Diceros bicornis minor: one gene and its partners. Each later gene encodes a partner of the first gene's protein in a complex. Links are inferred from orthologs where the notes say so. Each region holds a gene or a part of one and is shown on either strand. Other genes may lie near its edges.

Region 1 (6,884 bases):
GAGGGATTGGTGTGGGGAGTGGAGAGAGGCGGAAGGAGAATTTTCCTTCACATTTTGCTCCTTTCTGTCACGTTTGGCTTTTCCATAGCTACAGATTGCTTGTATTATTTATATTACTGTCCACAGGAGTGTCCGGGTGCCTGAAATCCCCCCTCTCCCCACAGTGATGACCGTCTGCAAAGATCAGCCACCGGGCTCCAGTGCGGGGAGGAACGGGAGGAGCCCATGGGAGCAGTGGTTGCATGGAGGTGGGAGCTGTCCATGGTGTGGAATTGGGCAGTGCACTCCAGGGAAAGGGGACAGGTTCTGAGCCCCTCTGTGCACTGACCCAGCCGGGGACGGCTCAGCCCATCTCCGCAGCCCAGGGCCCAGAGGGCCTGCAGAAGGACACACCCTCCATTGAAAGGGAGTCCCACCCCACACAGGACTGCCTGGCATACGGGGTGATGGCCACAGGGTGCCATTCCCGTGAATACCATGTGACTGGCAGCCCAGGAGGTATACGTCTCTGAGAGGTGCTCCTGGCCCAGAGACGCGATGTTCTTGGGTCCTCACCAGGGATCCTTTCTCTTCTTCCCAGGTAAGCCCAGGGTGAGGATGTGGAGCCATAATCCTCCATCCCATCATCCCCCAGCGGGCACAGGGCCTGGCCACCCCCACTGCCAAAAACCTTTCGGTGTGTGACAATGTGGAGCTGAGAGGCCTTGCTCCCTCAGAGCCTGGCTCCTAGCCCCTCCTGGGGAAGTCTGTGGTGGCAGGTGGCCCTGGTGAAAAAGCGCTGCTAGGAGAATCTCCCTCCCAGAGCAGGGCTCTGTTCCCCCTCCAGGGGGGCAATGTGGTTGTGGGGAATTCAGCACTGTTGCCGGTCCTACGAGGAGCAAATAAACTGGATTTACCCCTTCCCCTCTCCCACCTGACACATGCACCTGGGTTCAGGGGCCTGATGGGTCCCTGCAGGTGAGGGTAAGTGCCTGGCTTTCCAGCCTCATCTCAGGCCCACTCTTTCAGACTGGACTTAAGTGTCCTCTTGCAGCCACCTGGTGCTGTCCTCACCCATGCCCATTCTCTGCCACACCCGGGGAGGGTGCAGGGGACAGAGAAATCCTGAGGAGATCCAGCCTGTGCCCTCAAGGTGCTCATATCCAGTGGCCTTGGGCAAAGCATTTACCCTCTTTCATCTCAATGTCCTCTTTTGTGAGAAAGGTACTACAATTCCTGCTCTTCCTCCCTGAAAGGCTTGTGGTGTGGACTGAGGGAGAATGTGGGAGCAAGAGCCTTCAGAAGACATGAAAATCATAAAGTTATGCATCCGGGTAACTGGGAAGTGTTCGTCCCTGCAGTGTCACCTCTCCTCAGAATTACACACACACACACACACCCCCCACTGCCCCCCCACTGCCAGTCAGCAGGAACCAAGACAGACACACAAGGATAGGGCCTCTGGGAGGGGGTACCCGAGGGCCAGACAGCAGGGCGCTCACGGGTCCAGGGACATGGGGATGGCTTCCTACGAGAAGCGCTGTTGAGCTGGGTGGTTCTTAACAAAGATTCCTCGGGGGATATTTTCCAGGCCCAGGGAGCTGCATGCAGTTTTGGTTTTCTTTGAACTAAAATCCTGAACAGAGTTCAGGGGTTTTATGGGTTAGAACAAAATTCAAGTCCAGAGTTACGGAGTGGAGACTGAGGGGCAGGCCTGGTCGTGGGGAGCAAACACACCCAATTTAGGGGATTGAGGATGGGGCCCCACACCTGCCAGCTGCCAGACCCTTCAATGTCTGTGTCTCAAATTTCCTCCTCTGTGAAGCGGGGATGGATGACCACATGCTGACAGCTCAAAGGAGGCAACCCCTGGGAGCCCACAGTGGAGTCCCTCCCCTCAGTCACCCCGTTCCCCCAACGACTCAACACCCTCACCCAGAGGAGGCTGTGAGGCCAGAGAGGCAGGGTCGTGCCTCACCCTGGGGGCCCAGGTCTTTCAGAGGCGACTAACACAACTGTCCAGGAAAGTGTGTGGGTGAGTCAGATAAGCCCGGGCTCTGCTTCTTCCTGTGGGCATCTCAGCTTCCGTGGTCCCCAGTCTCCTTGTCCATGAGATGGAGGCAATAACACTAGCATGCTGTGAGGACACAGTGAGATGGCACATATGGCACTGCTAACGTCGGCTAGGTGCCCAGTGCTCGGCACCTAGGCTAACCTTCATGCCTCGTGATTCCGCGGCCAGACCCTCCCGCTATGAGAAGGCTGCCGGGCACGGGGCAGCCCCGGACCTGCCATGCCCCTCTGCCAGAGAGTCTGCCTTCCCATGGCAGAGGGCCGGGACAGCTTCTCCTCCACCTCCTCCTCAGCCCCCAGGTTGGCCCTGCAGCATGATGGGAAGAATCTCTGGGCTGGGGTTTCTGATTTCCGGGCTCCTGAAGGGAATCCCCCACTCTCTACTTCACAGGCCTGTCCTTGTTTCCAGATGAGCCTTGCAGTGTTTCCCCAGGTCTATGCCTCCCAACCCACCTCCTGCCCAGCAACCCTCCTCCCAAGAGGTGACTCCTCCCTCCTGTCCTCCCAGCTGGCAGAATGCAGGCCCAGTGCATCCGGCAGACAGAGAAGCCCCCCAGCGTTCCCTTACCTTGTCAGGATGGGGGTCTTGCCAACTCCCTTTCCCTCCACCCTAGGCGCTCTGAAAGAGCAGGGAAAGGAGGCAGTGCCAGGGCTCTGGGCCTGCGGGAGAGTGAGGGAGAGGAGGAAGAGGTGGAAGGGCCCCACAAGGAAATGGCTGAGCACTCAAGGCCACGTAATTTATTACAGGACTTTGTCCCTGGGCTCCAGGCACATCCACTCCCACACGGCTCCTGCAGCCCCAGCAAGCGGAACCTCACAACGGTCTGATCTTTAACCCTGGCCTCCTCGCAGAGTCCCCACAGGCCATCAGAGTCTGCAGTCCACACACCTGTTGCTGGCCACCAGCCAAATCCCGTGGTGACGATCAGCTGATCGTCCAGGGAGCTCAGCATCTTCTCAGGTGTCATGGGGACTCCAAGGAAGCCCACACAGGAGCTCTGCTTCCAACTCCCCCATCCTAATTGGGGGCACACACAGGAGATGCCAGGAAGCTTTATAACAGAGCTAAAGGCTGTCGGGGCAAGTAGATTCCCGGTAGGGTCCGTGGGAGCAGAGGGGCTGACTTGGGCTGGGACTCGAATGAAGGGGGATTTTAACTATGAGGCAAATACAGACCCTCCTGAAGAGAAAGGGCATCTGAAGTGTGTCCTGGGAGAGGCCAGATTGGAGGGGACAGGCAGTGCCTGGAGGTGAGCGTCAGGGTGAGGGCTTTGAATGGGGTGGAAAATGAGTGCACTGGAGACACCCGTGCAGCTGCAGCCCCTTCCTTGGGGGAAGAGAGGCCTCCGTGGTCCTGACAGTCGGGACCCACTCAGGTTCCTTCCATCTCCCAGGACTTGGGAACTGCAGGCAGAGGTGTGGCCCTGGCTATCACTTTTCACACAGAGTTAACGCCACAGCAGGGCGGCAACCCTGACCTCAGGCCTCCTTGGGGGACAGGAACCAGGGGCTGGTGGGAGAGAGAAGGGTAAAGTAGAAGGGCTGCAGGGGTGGGGTTGGCCCCAGAGAGAGGCAGAGGCCCCTGCTGCCTGAGGGCTTCCTGTGCTTCCTGTGGGGCTCCCTGTTGTCCGCAGTTTCCTTCTGCTGCATGCTCCTTACTCTGAGGCAGCTTGAAGGACTTTCTGTTGCTTTTTTTTTTTTTCAATTATTTTATTGAGGTCATATTGGCTTATAACACTGTGTAAATTTCAGGTGTACATCATTATATTTCAGCTTCTGTATAGATGGTGTGCTGTTCACCACCAATAGCCTAGTGTTTACCCATCACCATACACATGTGCCCCTTTACCCCATTTACTCCTCCCGTCTTCCCCTCTGGTAACCACCACTCTGTTCTCCTTATCTATGTGTTTGTTTATTTTCCACATATGCGTGAAATCATAAGGTATTGGTCTTTCTCTGTCTGACTTATTTCGCTCAGGCATTTTTCCAAAGAAGATATACAGATGATCAACAGGCACATGAAAAGATGTTCAACATCACTAATTATTAGGGAAATGCAAATCAAAACTACAGTGAGATATCACCTCACGCCTGTCGGAATGGCTATAATTAACAAGACAAGAAATAAGAAGTGTTGGAGAGGATGTGGAGAAAAGGGAACCCTCATACACTGCTGGTGACAGCGCAAACTGGTGCAGCCACTATGGAAAAGAGTATGGAGATTCCTCAAAAAATTAAAAATAGAACTACCATATGATCCAGCTATTCCACTTCTGGGTATTTATCCAAAGAACATGAAAACACTAATTTGAAAAGATATGTGCACCCCTATGTTCGTATAGCATTATTCACAACAGCCAAGTTTTGGAAGCAACCTAAGTGCCCATCAACAGATGAATGGATAAAGAAGATGTGGTATACATACACAATGGAATACTACTCAGTCATAAGAAAAAACAAAACCATGCCATTTGCAGCAATGTGGATGGACCTTGAGGGTATTGTGCTAAAGAGTGTCTGTTTCTGACAACCAACTAGCCCATGACAGAGGAAGGGAAGTGAGTTGGGAGATACTTAATGAAGGGCCATTTGGAGGAAAGCGTGCTCTAAGCCTTTCAACCAGTTCCCCACCTGCTCCCCTTGAATATGGTACTTAAGTTTTGCCCCTGGTTCCAACTAGCCTCCCATCCCCTAAAATCCATCCAATTACTGGGCCAACACTTGTTTTGTGGGGGTTTCACACAGCACGTGGCTTCTCTGGTTAGAAAGAGACCATTTCACTCCTATAGAATTGGCAGTACTGCTCCTGGCAGCTCCCAGACATGGCGAGCCCCTCACTCTGGGACTCCCATCACCAGGCTGGGTCCCCTACAGTCCTCTTCCACTGCTCTCGTGCAAAAAAATAGTGGAACAGAATATCCGTGTAGAACAAAACCATTTATAAGATATCTCTATCCAGAGCCTGTCTTAAACAAAATTTGGTAGAAACACATTTTGGATACCTACTACACTTATTTCCCACATTTTTTTTACATTTACATTTACATATCACAAGCATTTTCTTACACTGGACCAAATTTGAACCATGTCTTTAGAGACAGCACTGTAGTCCATCCTACAAGTGCGCCATCATTTGTGTAACCATCCTCCCTAGACGGACATCAGGAGGCATCCAATCCTTTGCTCTCATCTACAACCTTGCAAGGAACGAATTTGTGCTCACAGTTTTGTTTGCATTGTCATTACAGGAAGATTCCAGGAACTTATGGAAACCAGGGGCATGAATGTTTCGTTGCTAACCTCTCTCAAGTGGCACATCAAGTCCTCCCTCCTAGCAAAGGGTATGCATATAACTGCAAGGACCTAGCTTGACTGCTGTGTGAGTTGGCCAGGCCCAGAGGGGGCTCCCCCGAAGGACAGCTCTCCTGGAGCCTCAGGTGTTCCCCAAGCCCTGGAAATCAAGACAACGGGTGGGGGCCAGTCAGGGCAGGCTCTTCCCTGTCACACCTGTGATCAAACTTGGCTCTCCCGCAGCCTAATGCTACTTCCACAATTCTCCTCAAGATGCAAATATTCTGCTAACCTTTATTTTATTTTATTTTTTATTATTTTTTGTGTGTGTGAGGAGATGAGCCCTGAGCTAACATCTGCCAATCCTCCTCTTTTTGCTGAGGAAGACTGGCCCTGGGCTAACATCCGTGCCCATCTTCCTCCACTTTATTTTTTATTTTTTTTTTTATGGGACGCCGCCACAGCATGGCTTGCCAAGCAGTGCGTCGGTGCACGCCCGGGATCCGAACCAGCGAACCCCTGGCTGCCGCAGCGGAGCACGCGCACTTAACCGCTTGCGCCACCAGGCCGGCCCTCTGCTAACCTTTAAAAGTATGTTTCTGAGCTGAGCCAAAATGCCTCCAAGGGACAACCTATGTTTCACGCTATTCCCATCCAATGATCAAGACCATGGTAGTGTCGCCATAGCAACTAAAATAGAGCAGAGGGAGCATTTCATTTCAGCTCTACAAACACGTCATAGAGCCGCCTGAGGTTGCTGGTTTCCTGAGGGCCCTAATCTTCCCATGTAACATACAGTAGCCACGTTATCCATTAACACTATAAAACAGCACAGCTGTCGGCGTAGATCTCTGTGACTGAGCTGCTCTGTGGAGAATTTTGGAATTCTCAGTCTCAAAGAGAACTAGCATTTAGTGAGTGCTTTCTCGGTGCTGGGCTCTTTGCACGTGTCATGTCATTCAACTCTCATCAAACTCTACAAATTAGGGGTGCCTATCCTCATTTCACCGTAAAGAAGGTAACACCGATGAAGTTAAGAAACTCGCTTAGGTCATAGGGCTGCAAGTGGTGGGCGCTGGATTTGAATGGAGGTCTACCTGACTCCAAGGCCAGTGCTCATTGCACCGCGTTACACCACACCAACCCTAAAACAAACCTGGTTTCCTCCTCCCCAACCCCAAAGGTGGATGAGGCATCCTATTTTTAGAGAGTTTCGGAAAAGGGGCTTCCCCAACGTGCTTGCCCAGGGTCTGAAGGACCTTTCCTCTTTCATTTCCATGGTCTCCAAAGTGTGAGGGCAGAGGAACATCTGGGAAGAAGCAGGGCTTAAATGCTTCCCTGGGAACTCAGTTATGCACAGCAGGTACAGTAGTCCCCCTGATCTGTGGTTTTGCTTTCACAGTTTCAGTTACCCTCCGTCTACTGCAGTCGGTAGCAGATGATCTTCCTTCTCATGGATCGTCAGAAGGTCAGTAGTAGCCTAACGCTATGCCACAGTGCTGATGCCATTCACCCTCCTGCATCTCATCATGTAGGCA
Region 2 (7,139 bases), on another chromosome or scaffold:
GGCAGCTTGTACTCTGCAAAGCCATTGCAACGTGGAGGAATGATGAAAAGTTGAGGAGGGACTGGACACATTCACAGCAAAGACCCCCCCCTCAGCCCGGGCTCCCCAGGTCACCTCTGGAGCCACACACTGGTGGGGGGAGGGGAGGTCTCCAGATTGCAGAAGTGGCAGCTCCGAGACGAGTGACTTGCCTGATGTTACACAGCTAGTCAGAGGAAACTGAGGACTTGGTTTCAGCTTGATCAATGTCTGGGCATGTGGTGGTGCACACAGTAGGTTGCTAGCAAAGACAGGCAATGAGAACTTTTTCTGATCAAAATTTTTAAAAACCACACGCCTAACACAGTGGCTCTGAATCACTTCCTCATGTGCACATCTCTCTATCCCTTGCCCTGTGCTAAGGGCTTTACTGCATCACCTCCCTGTGTCAATGTCTATAACAAATCTGTGAGTCGGGTTTTGCTGTTATGCCCATTTTATAGATGAGGACATTGAGGCTCAGGGAGATGAGCTACCTTGTCCAAGGCCCCCATCTAGTAAGTGGTGGGGAAGAGATTAGAACTCAGGTCATCTAAGTTCACATCCTGGCCTCTTAGCCCCACTTTCTGCCTGGCAACCCGCTGCTCGCTGAGGCTGACCCCAGGCCTGGCCTGTTACTCAGACCTGGATCATCACAGCCCAGAGCCCAGTGACCTGCTCAGGCTGCCTTGTGGTAGGTAGACAGGTGCCCCTTGAGATGGGCAGGGCACCATCTGGTCACACATGGCTCGTCCAGATGCTGTCCAAAGGTCTGGGCAGGCCAGCACACGCCCTCCGGGGGCCAGAACAGTGACTCAGAGCTGTTGGCCCCAGCAGTCAGAGCAGGGACAGAGAGGAGGGCTGGGCAGAGAGACCAGGCTGGTTCCCTGGGTTTGGGGCAGACCTGGAGCCTGGAGCCTCGGGCAGAGTCGCCTGCTTCTCCTCCTACAGTTAGTCCACCAGCAGTTCCCCCACGCCACTGCAAAAACTAGCACGCGCTGAGACTTGACTCTGTGTCGGGCCCTGTGCTCGAGACTTGAAACGCATGACTTCATTTCATTCTCACCACCACCTTCTGAGTAGGTTTCATCCATTATCCCCAATTTACAGATGAGGAAACAGGCTGAGAGAGGTTCTGTAACTTGCTCCACCACAATTGAACTCAGCTCCTGACCCCTGAGCCCTGTCTCTCAACGACTACATCGTAATAGTTATGTCAAGTGCCGTCCACCTCCTGCAGCATCCTCTCCCTGGAGACACACAGGAGAAAACTCCTCTCAGGTATCAGAACTCAGAATTGCACCATGGCTCCCAGATCCTGGCTCTCTCTCTGTATGTGTGTGTGTGCTTGTATATATACCTTTTTAAATGGATGGGTGCTGGATGCTAGACTTAATGGATCCTGTTTCTCTCTTTGCCTCACCTGCTAGGAAACTCAGAATCTAATTCATGGCCCACCTCTGACAATTACCTAGAATTTCAAGGCAAATATTTAAATATTTTATGGACTTTATTCCGATCTAAATTCTCCTCGTTTTTCTCATTTGTTTTCCCTTAATCCAGGTTCCTTTTGAGCTTGTTGTAGCATATATTTTTTGCAATTTTTTTTATTGTGGTAAAGTATACATAACATAAAATTTACTAACAACCATTTCCAAGTGTGCAGTTTAGAGGTATTAAGTACATTCATAATATTGTGCAACCATCACCACCATCCATCTCCAGAACTCATTTCATCTTGTAAAACTGAAACTCTGTGCCCATTAAACCACAACTCCCCATCCCACCTCCCGCAGCCCCTGGCAACCGCCATTCTACTTTCTGTCTCTGTGATTTCGACTGCTCTAAATACCTTATGTAAGTGGAATCATACAGGATTTGTCCTTTGTGTCTGGCTTATTTCACTCAGCATAATGTCCTCAAGGTTCATGCGTGTCGTAGCGTGTGTCAAAATGATCTTTCTTTTTAAGGCTAACATTCCATTGTATGTATATGCCACATTTTATTTGTCCATCCATCTGTCAATAGACTCGGGTTGCTTCTATGTTGTAGCTACTGTGAATAACGCTTCTACGAACATAGGTGTACACACAACATATATATTTTGATAATCTGTTTTAAATTGGGGAGGTTGGGGAACAAACTTCTCTGTTAAAGGGCCTGGCCTTTGTAACCACTCGATGTATATCTACTGAGTGTGAGTCTGGAGAGGCCGCTCAGGGTTATGATAGGACTGTGGGCACGTGCCCTGGGAAAGCTATGGATTCGCTGCCCTGGGAGCCTGGACAAGTGGCAGGGTGGGGGTGGGGGGTTCTATGCTACGTGCCAGGAATGGTATCTGAATTATCTGGTTTTATCCTCACAAGAATCCCACAAAGTAAATAATATTATTTTCTCCAAGTTGTGAATGTGGATGTCTGATATTATGCTACAGGGAGAGGTGGGGACTTCAAGAAGCTTAACAGCTAGGAGATGGCCCAGCCAAGTTCAAACTGCAGCCTGTTTACCTCAACTCTGTCTGTGCCCCTTCCTTAGCATGTGGGTTTGGTGGTGTAGGGATGGGGGACTTCCCATCTTGAGGCAGATTGTAGTCAGGACAGACCAATTCAACCAGGCCTAGCAGAAAAAGGAATGTATTGATTTAATAACTGAAGAGTCTGGTGGTGGAGGTTTTCAGGCATGGCTACATCCAGAGGCTCACACAAAGTGATGAGGAATCTGTTTGTCTGCATTTCTTAGCTCTGCTTAACTCAGTCTTAGATTCTTTCTCAGTAGACTTTACCATTATGGTAGTAATTAGACAGCTGTTGGAAGTCACTTTCTTACAGTTTAGATGTCCCAGTGGGGAGGAAAATGTTCTCCTTCTCAACAGTCCCAACAAAAGTCCTTGATTTGAGTCCTCTTGGTTCTTATTGCCCCAGCTTTGGTCACATGCCCAAACCTGAACCAGGAGCTGTGTGTGTCTGTGTAGGGGGGTGCTGTGCTCTGACTGGCCAGGCCTTATCACATGCCCCCCACGGGGTGAGGGGAGGGTGGGTGAAGAGGTTCCCCAAAGGAAAATTGGGTGTTGTTACCAAGGGGAGCCGAGAGAGCTACTGGGCGCTGGCACAGGAAAGGCGTCCTGGAGTGAGAGGGGAAGTGTGGAGGAGGCCCCCTAGCCTGGCCGAGGAGAAATGGGGAGGGCTGAGCGAGCGAGGGGAGCACACTTCCCCCTTCACCGGCCTGGGTGCTGTGCTTGGAGTTGGTTCCTGGCTCAGCTGGCCATGTGCTCTCTGGGGAACGTGTGTGTGGGCCCCTCCCGCTCAGAGCCCCAGGTTCCCGCTCTGCAGAGTGGGCGTGGTTATAACAGTACCTCCTCTCCCAGGTGATGTCAGGCATCAGGGAGACCATGATGTCAAGCGTACAGTAGGTGCTCAATAAAGGCCAATTCCAACTCCTCTTGGGAGGCACCAGGACATCCTCCCCCAGGACTTCCTTGGAGCTGAGAGCGTATTTGCATCTCATGATCTCTTTCTGCTGCCCCTGGCCTTACTGAGTGCCCGTCCTGGGCTGGGTGTCTTCCCATCCACCCACACAGGACTCGCTGCCCCATGGTGCAGACACAAGCAGCGTGGTTCCGAGAGGGGCAGTAACTTCCCCAGGACACCCAGCCAGAAGAACTTGAGGCCCCCTTTCTCCTTGTCAAGATGGGGATGTTGGGGCCTGTGTGGTTGGAGGAGGAGTTGGGGGCTTGGACCCTGCTGGGAGGCCACGGGCACCCCGCTGGTCTTGAAAGCCAGCCTGCAGGTGGATGAGGCCCCAGGGAGGGGCAGGCACCTCTGAGGGCCTCAGCAGAGGGGAGTGAGGCAGCGCTAGGTGGGGGCTGCGGATCCAAGGTCAAGTTCACCGCACTCCTGGGGGGATAACTCACGTTGGATTGTGATGCTCTTTTACTAGTTCCCTCCCCTGACCTAACCCCTCTCACCTTCTCCACGGGTCCCCTGTCACTGAGGACTCTTGTAGTGGGGAGGGAACTGTCGACTGTCACCCTTCCCGCCCCTGCCTGCCCCAGCTGCTGGGCCTGGTTCCCGGGTCCCCCGGGCTCGGGCTCTCCTAGGCCCTTTCTCCAGTGGCCTGGCCTCCAGTCCCGGGAGCACTGTTGCCCGTCACCTTGATCCTGCCCTCCTGCCCCCTCCCCGGCTGTGATCAGCACTTGCTGAGGACTTGTCCCCATCCCGGGAGGTGCGGTCCCTGGCAGGGTTAATGATTGCTCAGAGGAGGCGGAGATGGTGCCAAAGTCTGCTGGCGGCGCCACTGCAGGCCCAGACGGTGCCCACCTCTGCCTGCTGCCAGGGTCCATCCGCCACCTCCGTGGCCCCTGCCGGGGCACAGGTAGGGGCTGCACAGCTCGGCTGTGGTGGGGATGTGGGGCCTCCTGGCCAGGGGTAGGAACAGAGTGGGGTCGTTGGGGCCAGGGCGAGCTTTGGGGGTCCACCCAGCTGGGTGGGAGTGCTGGGCAGAGAAAGCGGGCACTGGCGCTGGGTTGGGGGAACCTGGAGCTGAGGCCCAGCCGGGCTGCAAGGCCTCAGGTTCTTCCGTGGGGCTAATAATGCCTATACCCAGGGTTCTGATGGCTCCTCTCCCTTCCAAGTCCTTGGGTAATTTGGACCTACTGACGGTTCTTCACAGGATGGAGGGGAGGCAGGTCCCCCAGGGAAATGAGTTAACCCTCCTAGGCCCCTTTCACAGAGGCTTGAGGGAGTGAAGACAGAGTGGCTGAGCTGGGGGGCCCCAGAGCTTGAGGAGAAAGAACTGGGCTCCGAACCAACTGCTTGAGTTCAGATCCCAGCTCCATCCTGACTTTGGGTGGGCTCTGTAAGTCTTCGGGCCTCAGTTTCCTCATCTGTGGAATGGGACAGTAGTAGTGCAGGAAAGAAGCTGGAGAAGGCCTGGAGCAGAGTTGGGCCTGTGGTCGGTGATGGACTCCGGTGCCACCTCAGCCCCCACTAGGAAGGGTCCGGCTGCGACTAACCACAGCCTGGCCCTCAGCTCTGGCTCATTCCCAGGCCCTGACACATCTCTTTGCCCTGGTGTTCCAGGTGGAGACTCAGCTGAGAGCCAGGGCCAGGCCTGGGCCTCTTCCCTGAGCAGGACTGTGGGATTGGGGCACCAGGCACAAAGCGGGGCTCAGGGAACATTGGGATCCCACTGATGGAAACAGGACATGACCCATGTGTGGACTTTATGGTTCTTATCCTCACTCCATTTCTCAGCAGGGAAACTGAGGCCCAGAGAGGGTAAGGGCTTGCTTGGGGTGGCACAGCAAGTAAGTGAAAGGCTGGAATCTGAACCAGGGCCATTTGACTTCATATCTGTCTGCCGCCAAAGCAGCCTGAGGGACAGGTGCTGGAGGGGCTCCATGCAGGAAGCCCATGCCCTTGGGGTCCACATCCTTGCACCAGGGCACCCTGGTTGGGCTGGTGTCTGACCTGTGGGTGCTGGTACGGCTCCCATGGAGTCAAGCGGAGCCCAGAGCAAGGCTTGCTCACGGACTCCTGGATGTGGAGCCAGTCTGGGTCCAATGCTCTGCACCTTGCTCTTGGGCATCCCTCTCTGAGCATCTCTGAGCTTCGTTTCTCACCTGAACCCAGGAGTGGTGATTCCTACAGCTGGGGAACAGCTGTGAGAAATAAACAAGAAAGCGGAAGTGAAAGCATGTGGTGAGCTGGAGGTGGTGGTGGCTGAGCCCGCCCGCTGGGGGCCAATGGATGAGGAGGTCCACCTCCCTCTCTGGTCCTCCTGGACGCCCTGGGCAGGCCTGAGGTCCCCACTCCCAGTGGCTCCAAGCCCTAGGAAGTCTTGGAGCCATGGGCTGTTGAGAGCTGTGGCTGATGCCTCCTCCCACTGAGGGTGAGGAGCTGGCGCTTCCCGGCCCGGGATGGGTGTGTCCCTTCCAAGCCAGAAGGGACTCCCATGGGAGTGTTTCATGGGGTAGGGGTCCAGAAGCCACCCTGTTTCTCCTCTGTGTCCTTTTTGACCCTTCCCCCAGCACTGTTTGAGAGTAGGGAAAGAGAGCGGGTGGGTGGAGGTAGAGGGAGGTTGAGTAGGGGTTGGGGGAAAGGAAGCTGTAATCTCTAGAATGTTGATAATCCCATTTTTTAGAAGGCAAACTGAGAGGCAGAGAGGAGGAAAGAAGAAACCCTGGGTCTGGCTGTGCGGTGACTGGGGCCTGGAGTGAGACCATGCGTCCTTCACTCCCAAGCCATGGCCGCCTGGCACAGCGGAGGCCTGGGGAGTGGCCTGGCCTGGAGTCCCCACCCATGGGCAACTCCATTCACATCTTATTCATTTGCACCTAGTCTGTCCCCCTGCCCCTGCTGGGTACTAGGAGCTTAGGGGCCACCAATGCCGGAAGGTGGCTCCGCACCTGACCTGACCTTAGAGGATGGAGAGAATTTGCATATACGCAGGAGGCAAGGGAAGGCGTTCTGGGCAGAGGTGACAGCAGATGCAAATGCTGGGAGGAAGAAAAACATCGGGTGTGTACAAGAGCAGCAGCACGCAATGCCCTTGGGTTGTGGGAGGGGGAAGGAGGCCAGCTTGAGTGGGAAGAGAGACGTGTACCTGTGAGGACCTGGCCTGCCAAGCTGAGGGGCAGGAAGTGTGTCCTGCAGCCAGTGGGAGCCAAGGCGGAGGTTTGAGCTTGGGAGTGGCTGTGCCCAGTGAGGTGAGAAGGCTCACTGATGGGGCAGGGTCATCCTGGCGGCTTCCCCCACTCCCTTAGGCTCTGTACATTTTTCTCAGGTGACTGAATCAGGAGGATGATGCTCTGGGCTGTAGAACTTTGACCGCATTATGATCAAATGAGCGTGTGTTTGTAAAAGTCACTGTGACAGGGAGGAGGGAAGATTGCGTGAAACCCAGGCTGAGGCAGTGCAGGAGGGAAGAGAGGCAGGACCCAGCAATAAAGAGCACTGGACAGGGAGTCTGAGGGGTGGGTCCTGGCTCCACCCTGACTGGCTTGGGATGGTGGGCAGGAGCCTTAGCTTCCCTGGGACTCAGGCATAAAGGGGGCTGCGGAGCCATCGCTTCCTTCCGGGGAGATGGTGAGGACCAGATGCAGGGGAGGGACTTTGTGTGTG
Region 3 (7,894 bases), on another chromosome or scaffold:
TGTCGGCACTGCAGCATGACCGCTGCATGCTTGAGGCAGCCATGGAATGGGCGTGTGAGGACAAGGCCAGGGGCTGTCTCGGGAGAAATTCCGAGCAGCAGAGACAATGGGTGACAGCCGTTTCGGACAAGATGAAGGCAGTTACAAAATCCTCTGTGACAGGAACCTGCAGGACACAGCCCGCCCCTCCTTGGCCTCAGCACCACCCACTTCTTTCACTCAGAACTGGCCTCACCCTGGGTCTGTCCCTCTGTGCTAGTGACTGCTTGTGACCTCACGAAGCTTGACCGAAGGCGCTCAGGGCCGTGCCTGTGACCACAAAGGGGCAGCAGGAGGGAGTTCTTTGGGGTGATGGAGTCTTTCTGTACCCTGATTGTGGTGATTGCTACACGAATCTATCCATGTGTCAAAATTCATTTTTTACTGTATGTTAATTTCACTGTATGTTAATTTTTAAGAAGTCAATTTTACTGCATGTTAATTTTTTTTTTTTTTTAAATAGGAAGATTTTTCTTATGGAGATCTGCCTGGTTACTTAAGTGTCTGATGCGCTAAGAAATCCCACCAGTTAAGTGAGTACTTGGAGTTTGGAATATGCTCCAATGCTTAATTGGTCAATAGTGTTAAAGTTTAGGGGATTTTAATCCGCCAAGTTTGTGCAAGAACAGGCCATAGCAGCTGTTTAAAAATACATATAAAGAAAACAACTCTGAGATACCCTTACACACCTATTAGAATGGCCAAAATCCAGAACACTGACATCACCAAAGGCTGCGAGGACACAGAGCAACAGGAACGCTCATTCACAGCCGGCGGGAAAGCAAAATGGTGCAGCCACTTTGGAAGACAGTTTGGCGGTTTCTTACCAAACTAGACCTACTTTCCATGCTATTCAGCAATCATACTCCTTGGTATTTACCAAAGGAGCTGAAAACTTATGTCTACACTAAGACCTGCACATGGATGTTTACAGCAGCTTTATTCATACTTGCCCAAACCTGGAAGCAACCAAGATGTTCTTCAGTCTATGAATGGATAAACAAACTGCGGACATCCAGATGATGCAGTATTATTCAGTGAGGAGGAGAAATGAACTATCAAGCCATGAAAAGACGTGGAGGAAACAAATGCACCTTACTAAGCGAAAGAAGCCAGTCTGAAAAGGCCACTACTGTATGATTGCAACTACGCGACGTTCTGGAAAAGAGAAAACCACAGAGACGGTAGAAGGATCAGGGGCTGGCGGAGAGAGAGATGGAGGGAGAGATGAACCAGAGGAGCAGGGGGTCTTCAGGGCAGTGAAACTGCTCTGTGTGGTGGAAAGTGTCCTTATGCATTTGTCCAAATCCGTGGAATGGACAACACTGAGGGTGAACCCTGATGTAGATTGTGGATTTAGTTAATAATAATGTGTCAATATTGGTTCACCAACTGTAACAAATGTCCCATGATAATGCAAGATGTTAGGAATGGGGAGGCGCGGCGCATGTGTGTTTTTTAAAAATACATGTAAAGGGACCAGCCTTGTGGGGCAGCAGTTAAGCGCACCCACTCCGCCTGGCCGGCCCGGGGTTCGCAGGCCCGGATCCTGGGCACGGACCTAACGCACCGCTTGTCAAGCCATGCTGTGGTGGCGTCCCATATAAAGCAGAGGAAGATTGCCACGGATGTTAGCCCAGGGCAAATCTTCCTCGGCAAAAAGAGGAGGATTGGCACCGAATGTTAGTTCAGGGCTGATCTTCCTCACACACACAAAAATGCATATAAAGTGTAACACAAGAACCATGAGTTTACCACTTCATTTACTGGATTTATAATTTATGATTAAGGACTTCATGAGTACAGTTTCTAAAAACCCTAACTTGACCTAACCCCGCATTGATCACGCAGGAGGAACCCAGCAGCCTCCCCATTTTCCCTCCTCCCGCCGCATCTACACCTCCTACTCCCCTGCCCACCTCCGCGCCCACCGCCTCACCCGCAGCCCGGCCTCCGCTTCCGCGCCGCCCGCCGGGGCCTCTCCAGGGGCTTCCGCGCCACCGGGCGCCTCCTCCTTCGTCCCAGCCTCGACCCTCGCGGCCCCTGGGAGCCTTCGGTCGTCGCCCCCGACCCTCCGGAGCCCTCCTCCGGTGCGCTCGGCCCCTCTGCCGCCCCCCCTTGCAGAGCTGGCCAGCCCCCAACGGCGTCCCCCGCAGGCTCTGCTCGTGCCTCCAAAGCGCGCGCGGTCGAGGCTCCGAGGCTTTGCACGCGCTGTTCCTCCGCCGGGTGTCCCTCCTCCCTCCCGGGGCCCCCCGACCCGCGCAGGCCCGCCCGGCCGAGCCCCCCAGCCCGCTGAGGGGCGCCGCCGCGGCGGAGGGGGCGGGCGGCCAGCCGGGGCGACAGCTGGGGGGGCGGCCCTGACCTTCCGCGCGATCGATGGGGCGCGGCCGGGGCTGCGCGGAGCCGGGGCGGTGCTGAGCGCCCCCGGCACCCTCCGCCCTGGGGCGCCGCTATAAAGGGGCCGCGGGGCTCGGCCGCGGCAGCAGCGCTCAGCACCCCGCGCCCACCATGGTCCCCCGGGCCCTGCTGCTGCTGCTGCTGCTGCCGCCGCTGCTACTCGGGGGCTCCGCCGCGCTCCCCGCGCCCCGCAGGTGAGCCCGCGGCCCCGGGGCCCACGCCCGCCCCCCCGGCCCACCTCGGCCCGACCCCGCGTCCGCGCCCCATCCCTGGCCTGGCCCTGATCCTGCCCGCGCGGCCCGCCATCCCCCTCCCCAGGGCCCGGCGACACTCGGATGGGATGTTCACGAGCGAGCTGAGCCGCCTGCGGGAGAGCGCGCGTCTGCAGCGGCTGCTCCAGGGCCTGGTGGGCAAGCGCAGGTGAGCGCGGAGACCTTTGGTGGGGGGCGCTCAGGTGGGACGGCCCGGCACGCGGCGCCGCTCCCAACCCCCCAACTCCCGGACTAACTCTGATTTGGGGTGGGGGCAGCGAGCATGACCCAGAGAACACCACCACCTGGAACACTTCGGCCGAGGGCCGCCTCTGCCTGCCCCGGCCGGCCGGACACGCCCACCCTGCAGGCCTGGTGAGCACCACTAGCCCCCTGCCCCCTCCGGAGGGTACCCCCCTAGACCCTCCCTCTGGGGCCTGGGGCACCCTGGGCCAACAGCAGGAAGTGGACACAGCAGGGGCCAGGGGCCGGGGGAGGTGAGGCTGAGTCAGGGTGGGTGACCAAAGGAGGCCCAGCTTCAGCAGGTGGGCACAGTCTCCAGCTTCAAGTCCCCAGCCTCTAACCGGGCTGTCTCTGCAGGATGCCCCCGAGTGCCCCCCTGGCTCAGGCCAGGTCTCCTTAGCTGCCTCCTGGATGGAGACCTGGGGTCATGGTTTCAGAGCCGGGCATCCCTGCTGCTGAGAGGACTGGATGAGGCCCTGAGGACCAAGGAGCCTGTCTCCACGCACAAGGGGAGCGGAGCCTGGACCGGGAGGGGTGGGGGGCCGGGGGGATTGCATTTGGCACCAATAAAGGAGGAATTCGGACCCTGGCCTGTGACCCCACTCTGTGTGCTTTGGGTACCGTCAGGCAGCCTCTGTGGTGCAGGGCTGTCGGGGGAGGAGGGCCCCATCCTCGGATTCTGGGACTGCAGCCACGCCCGCTGCCCTTTAAACCTGGGAAACCAGTGGGGCGCCTCACCCTCCCGTGTCCTACCTCTGACATCAGCGCCACCTCCTGTCCCATCCACTGAGCTCCCCAGGGCCCACCTGCACCCCTGTCATCCACTCACTGACATTCAGGGGCTCTGTGGGGGGACTCAGGACGTCTCCCAGCTCCTGCCCCCGGGGCCAGGTGGTCAGTGTGTGCAGCAGGTGGGGGGGGAGTTGGAGGGGGCAAGTAAGCTCAGGGCAGGCAGGAAGAGATGGCAGGGGGGTGGAGGGGTGTCCCCCAGGAGGCCACTCTGAGTGAGAGGACTCTAGTGTGTGTCTTGGCTCCCTGTCCAGGCCGTGTGGTCTCAGACGAGCGGCTTGACCACTCTGAGCCTGTGGGGCAGGGACGATGATGACACCCCTAGAGGTGCTGGGTGTGCAGGAGGCCGTGGAGGCACTGCCAGCAGGGGCAGTTGGATACCAGGAGCTTCGGGAAGGTGTTTCAGGCCCTTAGAGCCTCGATGCAAACAGGCGGGAAGGCCCCCCCATCATGGCAGCCCCTTCCCTCCCTCCTGACCCCTCCCAGTGGCCTCTCTCCAGCTGCTGGGATTTGGCAGGCCAAGGAAAGATGAGGTAGGGCAGTTGCGGGCCTGGGCCAACGAGCCTCATTGGGGTCCCTCTCTGTCAGGCACCAGAGCCCGCGGGGACCCGGGAGCCCCAGGTGTCCCCTGAAACACTGCCACCTCCATCACTGTGGCCCTGCCCAGCCCCACCAGGAGGAATCCGGCTTGTTTCCGGGACAGGCAGGGGTATCCCCAGGACACAAACAACCTTTTCTTTCCAGACCTAGATGGTGGGTGCGGGGAGAGGAGGTGAGCTGGATGGGAACACGGGGTCTGAACGTGCCCCAAGATGACTCTGGCAGAACAGCCCAGCAGAGGGGCAGCTGGGGCCGAGGGGAGGCACAGCAAACACAGGAGCCAGGGCCCAGCCCCCACCCCTCCCCCAGCCTGCCCCCTCCCCAGCCCCTCCCCCAACCCCCATCCTCCCCCAGCCCCTGCCCCTCCCCAGCCCCCTCCCAGCCCTGGGCCCTCCCCCAGCCCCTCCAGCTCCCCAGCTCCCTCCCCCAGCCCCTCGGTGCCCCAGCGGCTCTCTCTGAGCTCCTTTCTGTCTCTTGTCTTGGTGTCTGTGGGTTGAGCCCAGCTCCGGCCCGGGGAACCACCAGGCGGCCCCCTCCTGCCAGTGGGCTAGGCCTGGCCTGCGGCCGGCGGGAGCCCCCTTGGTGGAGGCCAGTCGGTCGTAAAGGATCATAAAGTGGGGCGGTGCCTGGCAGGGGCGAAGGTCGCCCAGGCAGGGACTGCGCCAGCGGCGGCCGGCTGCCCAGAGGGTCCTGGACACCGAACCAGCACAGACCCTCCTGCGGCTGTCGGCCGCCGAGATGGGGGCTTGGGCCCTGCTGCTGCCACTGCTGCTCGTGGGCACAGCCCAGGCCCAGGGTACCTTCAGGGCCGTGGCGGGTGGGGCTGGGGGGCAGGCATGGGGCTGGGCGGTACCGACCCTTCCTCTCCAACTTTCTAGTCTGCTCTGTGAACCAGACCTTCTTTGAAGTCAAGGAGAACACGAATGTCACCGAGCCCCTGGTGGATATCTACGTCCCCGACGACCAGCAGGTGACCCTCGGATCCTCGTCCACCCTCTTCGCATTTCGGATCCAAGGGACCCAGCTGTTTCTCAACGTGACTCCTGATTATGAGGTGTGGCTGGCAGGCCCCCCGTGGGGCATGCCCGTGGGGGTGGCTGGGGCGGCTGACCCCCCACGGGACCCAAGTGGACACCCACCCTCCCTCCCGGAGAAGGGCTCTCTGGGGGCCTTTGGGTGTCAGTTTGCCCAGGGGTCCTGAGGGCTCTGCGCCCCTCAGGCAGGGACTGACTGACCCCTCCGGGGCCCCAAGGCTTGGCAGAGGGCTGGCCTGAGGGGGGCGGGGCCCTGGGGTGACAAAGCTGCCTCGGCCCCCAGCTCCCTCTGGGCTTAGCATGGATGATGGGGACCCTGGGCGAGCACCTGCCCCCTCGGCCTCAGTCTCCTCACCTGTGAAGTGGGGACGCTGTGCTGTGGCCAGCCAGGCAGGTGATTCCTGACACCTGCCCACCCCCACAGGAGAACTCACTGCTGCAGGCACTCCTGGAGTGCAAAAGGGGTGACACCGTGGTGAGTCCTGCCCCCACACCCCCGACCTCCTGGGCATCCCCCCACGTCATACTCTTACCCTGTGACGTCAGAACGCTCTGGGCTTGGACCTCTGCCCTCTGCTCTGCCCGGTCCAGGGTCACTCCCTGGTGACCTCACCCAGTGGTGTATTGTCAAGTGTCACCCTGTGCTGGTGACACCCACAGTTCCTCCAGCCCAGACTCTGCCCTGAGCCCCAGACCCTCAAACCCAGCCCAGCCAACATCATACCCCCAATAGAGGCCCCCAACCCGAGGTCCCGCACGGTGGAGATGCCCCACCCTGAGGGCTAGGTCCTCACCTCCCCCCCGCCACGTCCCTCTATCAGCAAATCTGTTGGATCTGCCTCAAGCTAGACCCTCCCCACCTCCATGCCCCACTTGGGCCTTGGCCACCAGCATCTCCTTTCTGGAACCTTCCAACTAGTTCACCTGCTCCCCTCTTGGCTCCGCCTACCCCAATCCACTCTCCATATGGCAGAAGAAGATCCAGTAAAGCAAGCCGCACGTCCTGCCCAGGACTTCCTCTCATGGCTGCTTTCTCACTCCGGGTCAAAGCCAAATGCACTGCCGGGGTGGGCAAGGCCGGGCGCAGGGACCCAACGCCCAGCTTCGGCGGCCTTGTGCCCTCTCCCAGATGCGCACCTGCCTCCCTCTCTCACCATCTCCGGTCCTCACTCGCCCATGCCCTCCTCGGAGAGGCACCCTGACCGCCTGCCCCACGCACCTGCCTGCTCAGCAGCGAGCCCCGTGGGCGCCCCCACCCCCACATCACAGCACGCCACCCACAAATGTCTCAGGATGACTCTCTGAAAGATAAGGACCCTTCCTCTGAAACATCATCAGGACACTGCTGTGACACTGAGGAAACTGGGACGGCGGGCATCGCGTGACCTCCAGCGTCTGAATCCTGCCCCCAGGTCGCAGACGGGTCTTGACTGATGCTTGTTTGAACCAAGATCCAAGCAGGGTCCGCCTGATGCGGCTGCTTGAGTTTCTCTTAAGTCTTTTTCCGTCTGCTGGTCCCCTTTCTCTCTCCTTTTTCCTTTGAGATCTACGTTTGAAGAAATTGGATGGTTTTGCCGTTTTCCGCGTCTGGGATTTTGCTGGTTGTGTCCCCAGGAGCTGAGTTATTTTCTCCAGGGCACTCACCACCTTCTGTGCTTTACAAATTCCTTCTTGTTCGTTGTCTGTAACCCCTCCTGAGCAGGAGCCCCCGGGCACTCTAGCACCCAGGGTGAGCCAGGGCGGCTGGGGTGGGCACCAGGTGAGGAGGCTGACCACCTCCCGTCCCCCCAGGTGACCCAGCTGAGGGTGTTCGTGTCTGTGCTGGACGTCAATGACAATGCACCCACGTTCCCCTTTGTGGTCAGGGTGGAGAGGGTACCCGAGGTGAGTGTGAAGGAAGCCAGGGGCCGTGGCATCTGGGCTGGCACTGGGCCATCGGGAGCTGGGGTGAGGGGCCAGACGGCAGAGGGCTAGTGGCCGGATGTGTTGGCCATGGGGGTGAGGAGTGTGGCCAGACCAACCCCCCTGTCCCCCAGAACGCTAAAGTGAACACTACCGTCATCCCAGAGACGGAACTGCAGGCCGAGGACCTGGACAAAAATGACATCTTGTTTTACACCCTCGAGGAAGTGACCCCGGTCAGTGCCCCCAATCCCTGCCCCAACTCAGACCCCTCCACCTTGGGCGCCCCTGCCTCTCTGCAGCCCCCAGAGTCTCAGGCTGAGGCCTCCCCACCTCCTCAGGGTGCCAGTGTCTTCTTCTCCTTGGTGGGAGTGAACCTCCCTGCCCTGCAGCTGGACCGGACACTGGACCTTGACAGGTGGCCGAACATGACCTTCCGGCTGCTGGTGCGGGTGAGCAGGCCACACCCACCCCGAGTCCTGGACGCGCGGGTCCCCATCCGAGCTGCCGCCACCCCCAGGCTCCCAGACCTGATCCGAGGGTCTTGGCTGTTGTAGGATACACGGGAAGAGAACGTGACACCCAGCCACACGGCCACGGCCACCCTGGTCCTGGAGGTGGAGCCCATCGATCTGCGGC

What was found.
Region 2: MYO7B (region 1) and CDHR2 share a complex: the UniProt entries of both Homo sapiens proteins name them as parts of the IMAC/intermicrovillar adhesion complex. The link is inferred for Diceros bicornis minor from reciprocal best matches to the Homo sapiens genes MYO7B and CDHR2.
Region 3: MYO7B (region 1) and CDHR5 share a complex: the UniProt entries of both Homo sapiens proteins name them as parts of the IMAC/intermicrovillar adhesion complex. The link is inferred for Diceros bicornis minor from reciprocal best matches to the Homo sapiens genes MYO7B and CDHR5.

Annotation. Positions count from the first base shown.
Region 1 is NC_080749.1:5,374,364-5,381,247, forward strand, and holds the start of MYO7B (unconventional myosin-VIIb), read right to left. Parts: upstream 3,021-6,884; coding exon 2,871-3,020; intron 1-2,870. UniProt on the Homo sapiens protein: Myosins are actin-based motor molecules with ATPase activity. Their highly divergent tails are presumed to bind to membranous compartments, which would be moved relative to actin filaments.
Region 2 is NC_080740.1:89,800,783-89,807,921, forward strand, and holds the start of CDHR2 (cadherin-related family member 2), read left to right. Parts: upstream 1-4,125; 5' UTR 4,126-4,260; coding exon 4,261-4,389; intron 4,390-6,621; exon of another isoform or gene 6,622-6,724; intron 6,725-7,139. UniProt on the Homo sapiens protein: Intermicrovillar adhesion molecule that forms, via its extracellular domain, calcium-dependent heterophilic complexes with CDHR5 on adjacent microvilli. Thereby, controls the packing of microvilli at the apical membrane of epithelial cells.
Region 3 is NC_080770.1:1,357,521-1,365,414, forward strand, and holds the start of CDHR5 (cadherin-related family member 5), read left to right. Parts: upstream 1-4,880; 5' UTR 4,881-5,057; coding exon 5,058-5,115; intron 5,116-5,197; coding exon 5,198-5,373; intron 5,374-5,777; coding exon 5,778-5,828; intron 5,829-7,144; coding exon 7,145-7,237; intron 7,238-7,389; coding exon 7,390-7,491; intron 7,492-7,596; coding exon 7,597-7,707; intron 7,708-7,812; coding exon 7,813-7,894. UniProt on the Homo sapiens protein: Intermicrovillar adhesion molecule that forms, via its extracellular domain, calcium-dependent heterophilic complexes with CDHR2 on adjacent microvilli. Thereby, controls the packing of microvilli at the apical membrane of epithelial cells.